Lonchura striata: one gene and its partner. The protein of the gene in region 2 interacts with the protein of the main gene of each other region in a biochemical or structural test. Links are inferred from orthologs where the notes say so. Each region holds a gene or a part of one and is shown on either strand. Other genes may lie near its edges.

Evidence for each region. The genes of interacting proteins can lie anywhere in the genome.
Region 1: the proteins of BMPR1B (region 2) and BMP2 form a complex in vitro, tested with the Homo sapiens proteins (3 studies listed by BioGRID and IntAct, with this or other methods). The link is inferred for Lonchura striata from reciprocal best matches to the Homo sapiens genes BMPR1B and BMP2.

What each region holds. Positions count from the first base shown.
Region 1 is NC_134605.1:24,945,045-24,952,202, forward strand, and holds the start of BMP2 (bone morphogenetic protein 2), read right to left. Parts: upstream 3,020-7,158; 5' UTR 2,885-3,019; intron 1-2,884. UniProt on the Homo sapiens protein: Growth factor of the TGF-beta superfamily that plays essential roles in many developmental processes, including cardiogenesis, neurogenesis, and osteogenesis. Induces cartilage and bone formation.
Region 2 is NC_134606.1:51,235,466-51,243,127, forward strand, and holds the start of BMPR1B (bone morphogenetic protein receptor type-1B), read right to left. Parts: upstream 3,025-7,662; 5' UTR 2,968-3,024; intron 1-2,967. UniProt on the Homo sapiens protein: On ligand binding, forms a receptor complex consisting of two type II and two type I transmembrane serine/threonine kinases.

The sequences.
Region 1 (7,158 bases), on a different chromosome or scaffold from region 2:
TCAGTTTCATTTAGATCATGTAAGTACAACTGTTATATTTAAAGCATCTAAAAAGGATGAAGAATGATTTAGGGTACTATTAATATGAGCAATTTTAAACTGAAGAGGTCAGACAAAGGTGAGTCTATTTATCTTAAAAGCTTCCATTCAAACAGCCTCAATCCAGCATCAGATAATATCTCAGAGTGTCACTCCAGCTGAGAACCAGTATCCTAAAGAAAATAACAGCATGTAATCAGACAATAATTTTGAACCCAGCTTTTCTCACTCCTGTTTTGGAAAGGATAGTACCAAATCCTATGTTAGACTTTGGGATTCTTCCTTCACTTGGTCCTACAGCTGAGATTACAATTGCAAGACATTCCCATCAGACATGACAGAATCCACAAGAAACACCCCCCAAAGAATGCAGACTCAACTCACTGGCCACCATTTGATGTAATGCTGTCTCTTGTAGTCTTTAACTTTTATGTACTCAGTCAGGCATTAACAACTTTTAACTCAAATTTTACAACCTCACAGGAGGTGCTTGGGCTCCAAGGGTAAAAAAGGAAAATGTATTTCCTTTAATTAACCATGCAGATACATATTTAGGAGGAAAGTTTTCAAGATTAGCTTGGTACCATCTCCCTGTAGCCCTGACTTACAAGCGCACAGAAAAGGTAAGGATTCCTGAAAGTCTTACACCATGTAATAGATATGATGACCAAGCCACCATTTTTGAAAAAGCCTAAAAGACAGTCTAAATCATCATATGTTTTTTACTCTGTTTTGCAACCACCAGACTGAGGGAAGGTAAAAAGGCTGAATAGTAGGATGAATTCATCCTTGGTCATGAAAAATAGTTCTGTTTGCAACTCTAGCTTTTCAAAGCTTCATTGCTTCAGCTGAAAGCATCATGAGAGAGGTCTGTGTCACCAATCAGCTGTCTGGTGAACATGCTCACTGTTATGGTCCTTTTTGGTCAGTTCCTCTTGAGTCTGCTCTGATCCCTCCCTCTCACCCTTCTCAGTTCCCCCTAGGGAGGGGGTTTTGGTAGCAATGTTAAATGACTCACCCTCTGCACCAGGCAGGGAAGTATTTCACTATGTGGTGCTTTTCAAGCATGAGCCAGCCAGAGTCAGAAAGCAGACTTTAAAAACCCCCAGAAGTCCCAACACCCAGAGGGTGGGAACACAGACACCCTTAGTGAGCCTGACTCATTATGGGTCAGTGCTGTCTGTTCTGTGCCCAGGGGCACCCCAGTGCATCAGTTTCAGACCTCATTTCAGATCTGCAACAGCAGCTTCAACTCTTCTAAACCAAGAAAATGAGGGACTTTTATTGTTCCTCTTAATCCAGGTTCCACTTACAGGATTTAGATTTTTCTCTTACACGAACTGAATTTTTCCAAAGCTTCAGATATTTAGATAATGGCTGTTGGTGTCACCAACCAGCACTACAGCCAAGGGATACCAAAGGATAAAGTATTGCCACCTCCCACTTGTGGACATTTATCAGAGTGCAGATTTTCAACATGAAGACCCTGTGTGGTACAGATCAGCTTTTCTCAAGAGCTTTGTCAGTAGTGCCTGGTGCTCATGCCAGGGTTTGCATTGATTAATTTCTTTGTCAGTGAAGGGGGGGGACACAGAGAGACACACTTTACTTCTTTGCCTACAAGTGGAATATTTCGCACAACAAAAACCATCTGTCTACCAAGCATAGATTTCAGAAATCACATCACAAAATAACAAGTTTTCCATGATGGGAGAGGGCGCCACTCTTTTACATCTCCCCTCCTTGGTTTTGATGTCAGTACATGAAGATGCCCACTGACCAGCTACAGGATATAAGAACACAACACTGACATTCTCTGCTCAGCTTTAGTCCTCACCTACAATCTAAGCCCTCAGTTCAAGCACCAACAGTAGCTTCTTCAAAGCTTTAGTAAACTTACATGTGCCAGGAACTCACAGGAACATTAAAATATTATACAAACTTCTTTATATAACTTCTCCTACACTGAGAACTTACCAATTGCCCTCCTAACTCTTGGCACTCCCACAAGTAATTCCTTGTTAAAACTGAAGTTAATGAGTGTCTAAAGAGACCTGGGAGAAATGCAGCACTTGCAACAAGTCGCTGCTGTTCCCCATCCCCCCATGGTTCTGCTCTAGATCTGCTTTTGCCACAGCCTGGCAAACCCCAAGTGGGAAATGCTGCTTTGGGAGAAGGAGGAAGCAGTACAGCTATTGCATGGAAACACAGAGAATCTAAGTAAGGCAAGTTTGAGAGGAATGGGAATTCGGAAAACACATGCATCCACAAACTGGGGTGATCTCACCCAAAATTAAATACTGAGCATTTTTTCTTCCTATAGTTAAGGAAAAATCATAACAGAAATAAAGAGGCCTATGAAAAAAGAGAAGACATTCCTCCAGACGGTGCATTAACACAACAATTGGGCCAGTCTTACATGATTACATCATCACTTGGTGATAATTTATAACACTGGCCTAAGAAAAGCTTTTAAAAGTATATTGGAAGAAAAAAATACACATTTTACCAAAAAATCAGTATTTATTATTCTGTCTTTGTCATGTTACTTCCTCATGCTCCCAAAAACATATATTTGTCTACTAAGACACTCTCAGCTAGAGGTGTTTAGTAGACCCTTTGGAAAAGGGATCAAACTCTAAACAGATCACATTCAGCCTTAGCTGAGTAACCCCAAGAATAAATTAACACTACCTATATTCCAGCAAACTTTATTCCTGACTAAAGGAGGCTTTTATGATATAAACTGTTAAGAAGCTACAAATGCACGTTCCATTTCCTGTCCTTTTCCATGGGAACTCTGGAAAAGAAAATTTATTACTAAATTACAGTTTTCCCCACTCACCTCTGACAGGATGAGGGTATTACAGGTCTTCAAATCTGATTTCCTCAGCCCCTTGAGAGATGACTGAAAATGAAAACACCGCCTCCAAAGCATTCCCTAATTTGCAACTCTTCAGATGTAAACCATCACTGCCTCAGATGCTGGGGGTTTGATCAGTGTCAACTGAAAACCCACCTATTTTCTTGCAATACTTTCTGTTAGATTCACAGAGAGCTTACCCCCCACCTCTTTGTCTTCTGTCTTTTTTCCAGATCATTTTTTCTTCATCCAGCAAGTGCATTTCCTCTCCAAGGGATCTGGCAGATAGGCGACAGATTTTTCCAGCAGTCCAGATGGAACATGAGCCCCATCCCTCTTGGCACAGCAGGACTAGGCTGACATCAAACTCTACAGTCTCTTCTCTCAAGTTAGCTCACAGGCAACTGGAAAGGGAAATAACGCTCACACTTAAAAGAGGTCAGAATTGGGACCAGCATGGAGATAAACATCAATGTTTATTGACTGGCCTGGCAACCTTCTTTGCTTTTATTGATTATCTCCCAAGCGCCATTTTTCCCAATTTGGTCAAAAGTTTGTGATTTTTCTTTATTTGTTTAGAGAACAAAAAAAAAAAAAACACCCAAGAATATGTTCCTGAGGTCACAGCAACAGCAGGCTTGGTTGTTCACTAACCAATTCACACCTGAATGTTACATTACCCCATGGTCCATAAATATTTATTTGCTCATCTACAGAGGTATGTTTATTTAAATAATAATAAGCAGGTAGCTTACCCAACTGTCCTACAAAGAGCTAAAAAGACAGTGTCAAGCCAGTGCCAAGGAGCAGCAAAAGTAGAGTTACTCCACATGACCCCAAGAACAAAATGCCCCTCAGCCTGAGCTTAAGTAGAATGCCTGAAATTGGTCCCGGCTGGGTCTGGCTGAGGTTATTAAAGGCCTCAGTGTGCCCTCAGGTGATAGAAGGCTCTGAAAGTCTTCATGAGCTTTGGAGTTCCTGTCTCCAAGGATGTCTGATACGACAAGTGCATGCATAGACAATCTAAAGAGATAAGCATCATCAGAGTAGCTCAGGGAGCAAGCCTAGGGGAGCAAATATCCTGTGATACTATCTGTGGTTTGACAACTTCACAGCTGCATAGTTCTCATGAGAGTAACTATTTGCTGCCCATAGTGTGTCAAATATTCATACTTTGTATCTCTGCAGTCTTTTTCCAGGATATGAGTTTTATCTGAAATAATTTTGTCCTTTATTCTCTCTGTTTCTCTTTTTCATAGATATGGTTTTTCCACTGTGCTTCACCTCATCACTGTACCACCGTGTAAGTCAAAAGTTTAAGGCAAGAAAGACTTTCTGTGGAAATCTGGCTCATGGAAAAGCTTTTGCCCCTTTCCTCTCAGTTCAATCCACGCCTCTTCTAACACATCTCCACCTCACAAACTTTCTGTTCTTTGCCATTGCACCCTCGGAACCGATTTTCTCCGGGTAGCCTCAAACCTCTAAAAGCAGCAGCTGAAGCTGCCCGGCAGCCTGGGGTCATCGATGAGGTGGTGACTCTGGGGGGTATGCGAGCGGGTGACCCTGAGCACCGCCGGGCGGACAGCGCTCCTCGCCGCCTTACTCCCACCGCGCGCTGTTGGAGGGAAGGGGAAGGAAGGGCCGCCCTCCCGGGCTCCACTCCTCCCCCCGCTGTTTCTCCGAGGCAAGGTAGCGGCGTAGGGCGCGGAGGAGAGGGAAGCGCTGCCGGCGGGGACGGCAGGTGAGGAGCGCGGGGCGCCCGCGGGGAGCGCGGGGCGATGCCGGAGCGACCCCAGCACGGGGCACCCGCGGGCGGCTCTGCGCTGCCCCGCGGCACCTGCGGCGGGGCGGGAGTGCCCGACTGCCCGGGCTTGTTGCTTTTACAGCCCTTTCCGCGGGGCCGCGGCTGCCGGTACTTCCTTAAAGTAGAAGTGGCGCTACCGTGGGCGCCGCAGGCCGGGCCCCCGGCACCCTCCGAGCTGCGCCGGGCACCGCCAGCCTGAGAGATATTTCGGGACCTTCTTGATCTTAACCCCGCGTCATTAGCACCTTGCTCCAGCACGATTCACATCTTTCTCCGTTCCCGCTCAGCGTTAGAAGTTTGGGGCTGTGAGTGCTAAAATCTGCGGAGAGCTCGATCTGCAGAAACTGCTGATTTTCAGTGCGCTGCAGAAATGCCGAGTGGAGACAGCAGTAGCCTGAGGACACGTTTCTGGCCTGTTTGATCTACCCGTGCCAGGCCTTGCAGCTCCCACGTGGAGCCCAGGAGCTGGGGCGCGTTCCCGAGCAGATCCAGGCTTGACCTGAAGGCTGTAAGATGTAAACCCTGTCGGTTTGGGTTTGGTTGGGGTATAATAATGAGGGGTTCGTCGTCCTCGTTGCTTTCCTTGCCCCGTTTTCGAGACCAGGCTTTGTTTGTGCTGCGTACTCCGGTAGATTTGCAAGTGTTTGTGTTGCCTTATCTTCAAACTGAAACCTCCTGGTTAGAAGAGGAAGTGGGGAGGTGCGCGGCTTCAGGGAATGATGGAGTGCCAGGAGTAGTGCACTGGGGCCATGGTTTTCCATGCTGGTGAAAGAAAGGGTTTCACCCACCCCTTAGGCTGCTGCTCATTTTCACCCGCATCAGCACAGGCTTTGTGTGCAGAATTAGATTGGGAAGTGAAACCTAATCTAAAGACGCCCCAAAAAAATCCAGATCAATTCCTAAATGTTTTCGCTGGCCCAGGAGGGCAGATGAGACAGCTGCTTTTCTGCAACAATAATGGTTTATAGTGGAACAAAGTTTATAGTGGAACAAGGGTGGGCAGAAGTAGAATTCATCTGCTGGACTGCACACCTGTGCTCCTGAAATAAAATCCCAAAGTTGTCATCCTTTGGCCATGGATTACTTTTGAAGTTGTTTATTTATTCTTAGGAGCATAACTAGGGGCATTTTGACTTTCCTAAAGTCAGGGCTTTTGTTTTGTTATGAGGTGCACAACGACAGCTGTCCTGTGCACCTTGTACTGCACTTGTGCTAAAAGCCTCACCTGCCCAGAGACCGTCTCGGGAGCTGGGTCTTGGAATTTTTAGGAAAGCCACAGCTCTTCCCCTCCACGGGTACCCCCTGGTCTAGTGCATACCTAAGCTCGTAAATCATGTGGCACACAGCAGCACAAATTCAAAATCCTTTATCCCAGAGGCAGGAAAGGCAGTGTTCCCAGTGTCCAATATAATGCCTTTATTTACCAAGGCAAGCAAGCAAATTTCTTGGATAAGTACCAGCCCTTGTTGGTTTAGTAACTGTTTAGTGTAAAGGTGTAGGCTGGCACATGTAAGAACCCAGTTAACAACAGGGCTTGCTCCATAGGGTGAGTTGGCCTCTTCAAGTCACACAGTTATGAAGCTGTAGTTTTGCGACTTAGGGCTCTGTGTGTGTGTGTGTGTGTGTGTGTAATTTTGGAACTTCAGGGCAGACTCCCAGCTCCTTCCCAGTGAAACTCACTGGTAAGGTGATTTCCCACTAAAATGATGGCTTTGAGCTGGTCAGATTATTCATTTATAATGTCATTTGTTTAAGGGGAAATCCATTTAATCTTTAATGTATACATTTTCATTGCCTTTATGTTTGTCGTTACCACCTCATCTCTATTATCCCTTTAATGACAAATTTTATATCAGCGGCATTGACATCAGGTATTACATTACTAAATACTTATTTTTAAGAAGATCTACAACAGCCTGTAACATTGCTTCATCCCTTCTGGCATAGTTATTTGCTATGTTAAAAGCAGTCTGAGTAGGGCCCCTTCAACAAGAGGCTGTGAGCTGGGTTCTCGTGTGTTGTTGAAAGTTAACAATAAAAGGAATTCATCCATTTTAGTGCCTACACCTCAACTGGAAAGGCCTTTTTCAGGACAGAGAGCTGTCTCACTGTTTATATATCACAAATCCTGCCTGCACCATCAGTTACCTTATATCTACAAGCTATTTCTTCAGCAGAACCCAGCTGATGTTAACCAAAGCTTCTACTTGGAGCGTCTCCTCTAGTTTGGCTTGGCATGATTACTGTTCACCTGTCCTGGCAGGAGCCTAGTGAGATCTCAGACGATTCACCCTGCTGAGAAGGACACATGCCTACATCCCTGTGCAAGTCAGCAAGAACTGCAGATCTGTGTCTGGATAATGCTGGCAGAGAGCCACTAAAGTTGTCTCCCCTTGCATGTACTCAAATAGGTAAAGCTACTCTCTGGATATGGTCCTGTGGGAGAAAGCTG
Region 2 (7,662 bases):
TACAACACAAATATGTCAAAAAGGCAATTTGCATATTAACAAACAGCACAGCCTGTGCCACACTCTATATTTTAGAAAAAGTTATTTAAAAAATATAGGAAGATTGTTGCTAACATCCTAAGGTAGTTACTTCTGTTTCTAAGCCACAAATCACCACATATACTTGCAGTTCCAAGCAGGAAACACCAAATATGATCACCTAGAGATTATGCAAATGTCACTACAAGTGATCTTGAAAACTCTCCTGAACAGCAGCAACAGGGGAAAGAATACACAGATGGGAAGCAATGCTACTAATCCATGTTTGCTATCTGATCTTTAGGAAAGCAGCAAAGATTGCACTGTGCAAGCTGCAGATTTTTACTTATTATCATTTAAGATGATATTGAGATTGAGGGGATTCAGAAAATGGAATTTAAATGAAACAGCAAGAGACAGCTCTGACCTCATGGATCTCTTAGATATGTTTAATAAATCACTGTCACTCCTGTTGCCTTTCCAAAAGAGAAGAAACACAAGTGCACCATGCAGTTGAGACAAAAATAGTGCCTGGAAGATAAAAATACCAGCTAGCCATTCTCACCTCAAGATCAAAGACTGCACCTGGATATTAAAATATAATTAGCATGTGCACATGCTATGCTTGCAGAAATCAGTGCCAAAACTATTCAGAGGTGCTGGTGCCCTTCTGACTGACTGGGTTTGTCTGTTCAGGAGTAAATGTGACATAACCCAAACTCAGCCTAAAGAGCATTTACTTCATAAATTTACTTCATGAATTACCAACTCCTTTCTAATTTCTGCTACATTGCTGTCATTCCCTTTTACTCTTCTTGTAAGAACAAATCAAATAATGTTGACAGTCACAAAACCAGAACTGTCATATAGCTGCTATGCTTATAAGCATACTATATTTTTAATGTTTGTGTTTGGGTTTTTTTTTTTTTTTCCCAAATTCTGGGGTTTCTTCGTTGCTTTTTTTTTCCCAAATTCTGGTCATATAACTTCTTTTAAATTCATTCTTCCCAAAACATGGGGATGATGATGCTTCCTGCCAATTCCCCTTCCAACTTTTCCTCAAGTGCCTGTCCATCTTCCAGAAGGACAGATTATTTGGTGTCAGAAAAAAAAAAAAAAAACTAGTATTTTTATAATTTTTCATGGATTAATGCTATCCGCATCCCAAAATCCCACGTGTTTAGGACACTCTCAGTAACTAACTGTTGTTGAATGAAGTGCTCAAGGATCTCCAGGAATTTTTCTGCCTGGAGGCAAATGCCACCCTGACAGGTCACCAGGCCAAGCAGAGTTTTAAGCAACTGAGCAAGTGACTGTATAAATTGCTGCCCTGTTACGCTGCCAAGGCAGGGACTGCATTGAACTGACTGCTGCTACTGTTGGCTTCACCACACACGCTGTGCAGGCATTTGAACTGCATGTGTGGAAACCATAACCATGAAGAAGATCTTTGTGTTCATGAATGAGGGCTGAGGCACAAACCTTATCATCTGCAAACACGGCTGAATGCCACAGAAAGTGTCATTGACTTACTCACTTTGATAGAAAACAAACAAATCCATTTAGAGGGGGAGGAAAGCATATCTACTGCAAACCAAAATTAATTGCACGTATGCAACAACAATAATGAATTTTGACCACAGACATAAGCACTACAGTTTTCCAGAAGTGTTTGAGCAGCCTAAAAGCATTTCCCTCTCTGAATGCTCCAGAGCTCATGTCTGGGCAGGAAGGGGGTGTATGCTACCCATGCCAATGACATTGCCACCAACCCATCAAGCAGTGCCCACCAACAGGCTTCCATGCTCAGTCACACACTCGGGCCTCTGTGAGTGGAAGAACCAGCCCTCAGCCCCACTGAGTCTGCTTGCATTGCTTTTTTTCCCAATGCCATACACATATATCTTCACACCTACACTTCATACACAACCTCAAAACCCAAGAAATGTGCACTGCAAACACCCTTGGCAAGATCACATCCCAGGTGCTCTTCTCCTCGACCAGAAGTTTTCAAGAGATGCATGACCACCTTTCTTTCATTCTCTACAGATTTCTCCACAATTCTATTCAAATGTAGAACTTTTTTTTCTCTGTGTCCAGCCAGATAAGAAAAGCAATGAGTAGGAGAAAAAGTACATGTGTTTTTATTATTTGGTTATTTTCCGGCTAACTAGCATTTGAAATGTATAGAACAGATGCAGCATTTTAAAAAGCATTACTGACATACACAAGCACTATATATCTACAAAGTTAGACAGAAGGTGACCATCACTAAGGCTAAAACCCATAACACCTCAGGCCCACAATGCAAATCTGGCACCAGAATTAGCCTATTACTACCCAAACATTTATTTTTAAATTAACTTCAAATCCAAAGGTTAATATAAAGAAGAAAAAGTGATTTTTCATCCTTTTAAGTTCAAGATCAGGCTGATTTCCAAGTACTAGTTCTAAAAATCTCTTTTTCCTCAATCCTCACCAAAAAGGGTAACAGGAAACTTTTGTTTTATCTGCAGTATTTTCTCTGTAAATCTATCACCTTTCTCATGAAATCTAAACCAACCAAAGTGCACCTAAAGGCTTGCATCAGGCTCCTGACGTTGTACAAACCCTGACCCCCAGTCCAAGTGAATGGATAGGAGATCTCCAGTGTGTGTCCCTGCAGGAGTCAAAGCTGCAAACACAAGACCTGCTGCCCCACATCTTGCCAGCACACCAGCAACACTTTATTCAGTCCCTCTCTGACCTTCCTGAAGAACCCACAGAACTTCTGTTTTACTTTTTTTTTTTCCCCCCCCAAGACTCTTAAGTGTTCCGCTCAAACCAGGCTTTAAAAAAAAACTAAAACAAAAATAAAAGAAAGAAAAAAAAGAAGAAGAAAAAGGGAAAGGTAAGGGTAGGGGAAGCACAAGTGCTTTGTGAGCTGAAAAGCTAAAGCCTTCTACTTACAGGGAGTTTCGGCGCGCTCGCTACATCGCTGCCAGATTCCCCGAGGATGAGAGTCATGCGAGGAGGCAGAGGGTGGCTCTGCTAAGCAAACACAGCACCGTAGGCTGGGCTAATCCTGCACCTGTGGCGGGTTATTCAGCAGCAAAGAAATGCAGTCCAGACTGCCTCTGCTTAATACGGCTCAGCTGTTTCCCTCTGAGCTCGCTTTGATTGTAAGCTGGCAAACAATATTATTCCAGCCAGGCGCAAAGGGGTATTCAGGCTGCATAGGATGTGACAGTAAAAAGGCAAAAGGAAAAGAAAATCCTGGAGTTACAAATCAAACAAAGATCCCGAGCAATACAGAATTTCTAACTCTTTCCAGATGGTTGGCAACACCTTCCAAGGTCAGTATATAAAATGCACGCTGAAGTTGGAGCATTCTGCTCCTCACCTCCCTTTAAAGTGGGACTACTTGTGATACAGGATACACCACAGTGGCCTGGCCCTCATTTACCCAATCCCATACATCTTTGCTGATGAGAGCAATCACAAGAAGGTTTTGATGGGGCTTTTAGGCTTCTTATGGTACAAAAAATGCCAATTGAGAACAGACTATGAGAAGAAATGGCATGCAACCAGCAATTTGGGATTTTTTTTCAGAGGAAGAGGAAGCAAAGAGGTCATGAAGTTGCTACTAGGATACATAGGTTTTATCATAGCACATCACAAAAAAAAAAAAACAAACCCCCACAAAACCAAACCAAATCACCAAGAAACAACAGCCAAAAAAAAAAAAAAACCACACCCAAACAAACAACAACAACAAAAAAAATTCAGAAAAAAATAAACCCAAAACTAAAACCAACAAAACAAAAAAACCCAGGAAACTTGATAATCTGCATCAAACACATAAAAATTTGGTCCCATCATGGAACAATAGCAAGAATTTCATTTCAAGGTAGAGTACACAGCCATTGAGAGCATTTTATGATCCTGATATTTGCTGAGCAAGCTGACTAACCATTATTAAAATTCCATTATTGTGATCCACACATATTTATATAAAACAAACCAGTATTATTTAAAAACAAAACCACATATATTATTATTTCAGATATTTGAAATAATTTAGTTAACTTAATCTGGTAATCCGGATTTATTCCAGATAATATGGTCATAAAATGCCACACCTCCCCTACATAACATCTATAATTTCCATGGTAGCATGTAAATGTCAGAAATTACCAACAGATGCTGTTACTAATGTTTCTTTCTGATATTGAGCTGTAAACATCAGACACTGCAGTCACAACACACTCCCAGCATTTGTACTGAAATGTTCTTCTCTACAAAATGATACTTCAGTTTCTGTCCCATCATTCCCTAATCTAATTCCACCTTTGGAAACTGGTGATGAAAAAAGAGATATCTGCATACTCAGAACTATGTATCAAATTTCTTGGTGGAAGGTTTATTGCAGCTGCTGTTTACCAATGGGATTATTTCCAAAGAAACAGGAGCTTTATTCCTATGAGAAAATGCTCATAAGTAATCTAGACCTATATGAACTTTCAACTGGTTTCTTACAGAAGAGCTAACTCTTCAAGATTCTGACTGAAACAAGTAGGATATGTAAATATCTGATTAGATAACAAAGTAAAATTAAGAAACAAGACTTTATACAACATAAAATCAAAATAAGAAAGCTGCCTCAAATTTCCTCTTTCAAAAAATTTGCATGTGGTTTTTTTTTCCAAATACTTAGTTCCTTTTTTGGAGCCTTACACATGCTGTTTTAAAGCTATCTGATACTAGCAGAGGCAATAGCTAAATTTTTCTTCCTCCATACTCTGGTTCGTTCCTGATTCATCCCTCATTTATAGAACTACCTGTAACTCTATCAAGACCACATCTACCAAGTGAAAAAAAATAGATAATGTCTAAATTTCTGCCAAAACAATGTGGAATCATGGTCCTGCTAGAAACTGCTTGGTGCTCCTGGCAGCAATCATGTTCCTCTCTTTAACTTTCCAACAGCATCCTGCTCCTTCTGCCTTGTAGCTCCTGGAGATCATTCATGGCCGTGTCCAAAAAAATCATCTTCAGAGTTTTAAGTAGTAAGCTCTAAGTAATTGCAAGTAGTCATAACTACTTACAACTTTTGAATTTGAAACTTCAAAACTTTTGAGTTTGCTTTCTTGTGGCTTTTGCAGTGCATGTGGTGTTACCCAGAATGTGTCTTGTACCAGCCTGCTGTTCTGCCAACACAAAGCTCAAACCTACTTTTAAGATAACCTGAAAACTCATACAAACAGTGAGAAGCATGGAAGCTGGAGCATAAACAAGACTGACATAAGTGTCTTTAAGTAGGAATAGCTTTCATATACAACCAGTCACACACCTAGTTGTTTACATTTAATTAGTTCTCAACACAGTGGACTAGATGGAGACACAGGATTTAGGGACATAGGCTGTTTTGTATATCACTAACTGAACTTCACCTAAAGCCAGCAAAAGCTTCCTGCTGAAAACAAACTTCCTCTTTGAAACCAGAACACTGTGCTGGCTGAAATACTTCAACAGTGATAACCACCTCACAACACCTGCATCTGCAATTTCCAATAAATACTCTTGCAAGTTAAAAAACTCAGGAAAAGGTCATATTGATGAGCTGACAGAATGTAGAAGAATATTAACCCCTCACACCATGAGGCATTGTTGCTCCTCATATTATTTTCATTTGATGCATAAGCAAGGATCTTTTGTTCCCAAGGTAATAATAATAGAGCACTACTGGTGGATGGTAAATCCACTTGACTGACCTTCCTTCCTTTCCCTTCTCTCTTCCCAGAGCATGCATTTAACTCTATTAAAAAGGAAAGCTTACCACTCTCCATTCACAACTAAGCCAAAGGTCAGGAAAATGTAAAAATAAAATAAAATAAAATAAAATAAAATAAAATAAAATAAAATAAAATAAAATAAAATAAAATAAAATCTTTCTTTCATCAAGAAATTTAAATGTCATATAAAAAGGCCTAGAACAAAATACAGTAATTGCCAGCTGCCTAATTATTTTCTCATCCTCTTCCAGGCTTCAACACAATGCCTTTGTTAGGCTGCCTGCCAGTGATATTTGGGACATTAAAATGCACCAAATTTCTGCAAAGACTTTGTGTTCCAAAATGTGCTCTGATGGGCAAAACTGAAGCAAATATAAGAGCAATCTGATATTATTCACCTTAAATGATGAGGGAGGGGAGAATACTGTGTGCTGTCAACTCCCCCTCAGGTTTGTATGAATATTCCTAGAAGAGTTAAGTAACAGGAGAGGTTAGAGGTGGCCAAGGACAAATTTTGGTTCCCAATTAACACTACAGAGCCATGAAAGCCTTGTCTAGCAGGCGCCATCACATACAAACTATCCTCCCACTGCACAGGGCCCTTGCTCTCTACAGAGTTCAGTGTCTCCTGGCTTGCTCTACAGTGTAAGCAGAGGGATCATTAGTTATGACTAGTAGAGTCTAGGAGATAATGTTGACTCTCATTTCAGGAACTATTAAGCTATAAACACTGCGCTGAAAGCCATTTATCTGCATTTTAAGATAAACAGAGAAGCTATTCAATTAAGTAGACTGCAAAAAATAAGCTACAGATGCCAAATCGAACAACTTTTAAACTCCAAAAGAGAAAATCCTTGCATTAATAAGCACAACTTTATACCAAGAAATTACTCACATGGAAGTTCATAAGCAGCACAGCTTAACCACCCCACCATGTCTGATTAAAAAAATACAAATCAAAGTGTAATTACAAAACAGTTAAATTCAAGCAATGTAAATTACATGCACTTAAAATCTGCAAGTTCCTACCGCAGCCACCAGTGACGGTGTACAAGGTAAAGTGGCAATTTTAATACAGCAGTATTTACATTTTATCTCCACATTGCTAGAGTTTGAAAATGAGATACTATTCCAGACTCCACAAGCGAGATAAATGCCTAAACTGTCATGTTCGAATCTGTACTTGCTAAGGAGAACATTCTTCCTGAGATAAGCAAAAGAGTATGAAATTAATTTCTCAAATCTTGCCAACCAACCAGATTTTTTAACCGAGTATTATTCATCTTTTCACCTTTTTGAACATATCAGTATGAGATCTTTAAGATAGTAGGTTAAAAAAAAAAATTAAAATAAAAAAAACCAATCTCAAACCACTAAAAAGCATACCCACTAAATAGTTTGTAGTATCCTTTAAAAAGATGTAACATACACGGTATTCTAAGCTTTAAAAAAAAAAAAAAAAAAAAAAAGATTATTTTTCCCCTCCCAAAAAAAAAAAAAAAAAAAAAAAAAAAAAAAATTAAAAACCTGATCTTTCCCTGCACTTCCAGATGCCAGAGATTTTCAAGCCAGCTCTGAGGTCAGACAGGGGAACACACAGGTGCACCATGCATCGGCAGCTGAAAGCTTGCAAGATTGTGCCGGAATTTGATCTGCCCCCTCTCCCCGCATTCCTGCCGGCATTATAAACGCTCCCTGAAGGAATTATACCCTAATACGGACTAATTTTCCACAAACAGCCCCAGCCTCATTAAACCTCTTCTTTATCACCATTGTTCAAAGCAGTTTTTCTGGTAAGATATTGAACTCTCCTACGCCCATCTAAAGAGAAAAGAAACGCCTTTTATTTTCTCTCCAGTATCGTTTCTCC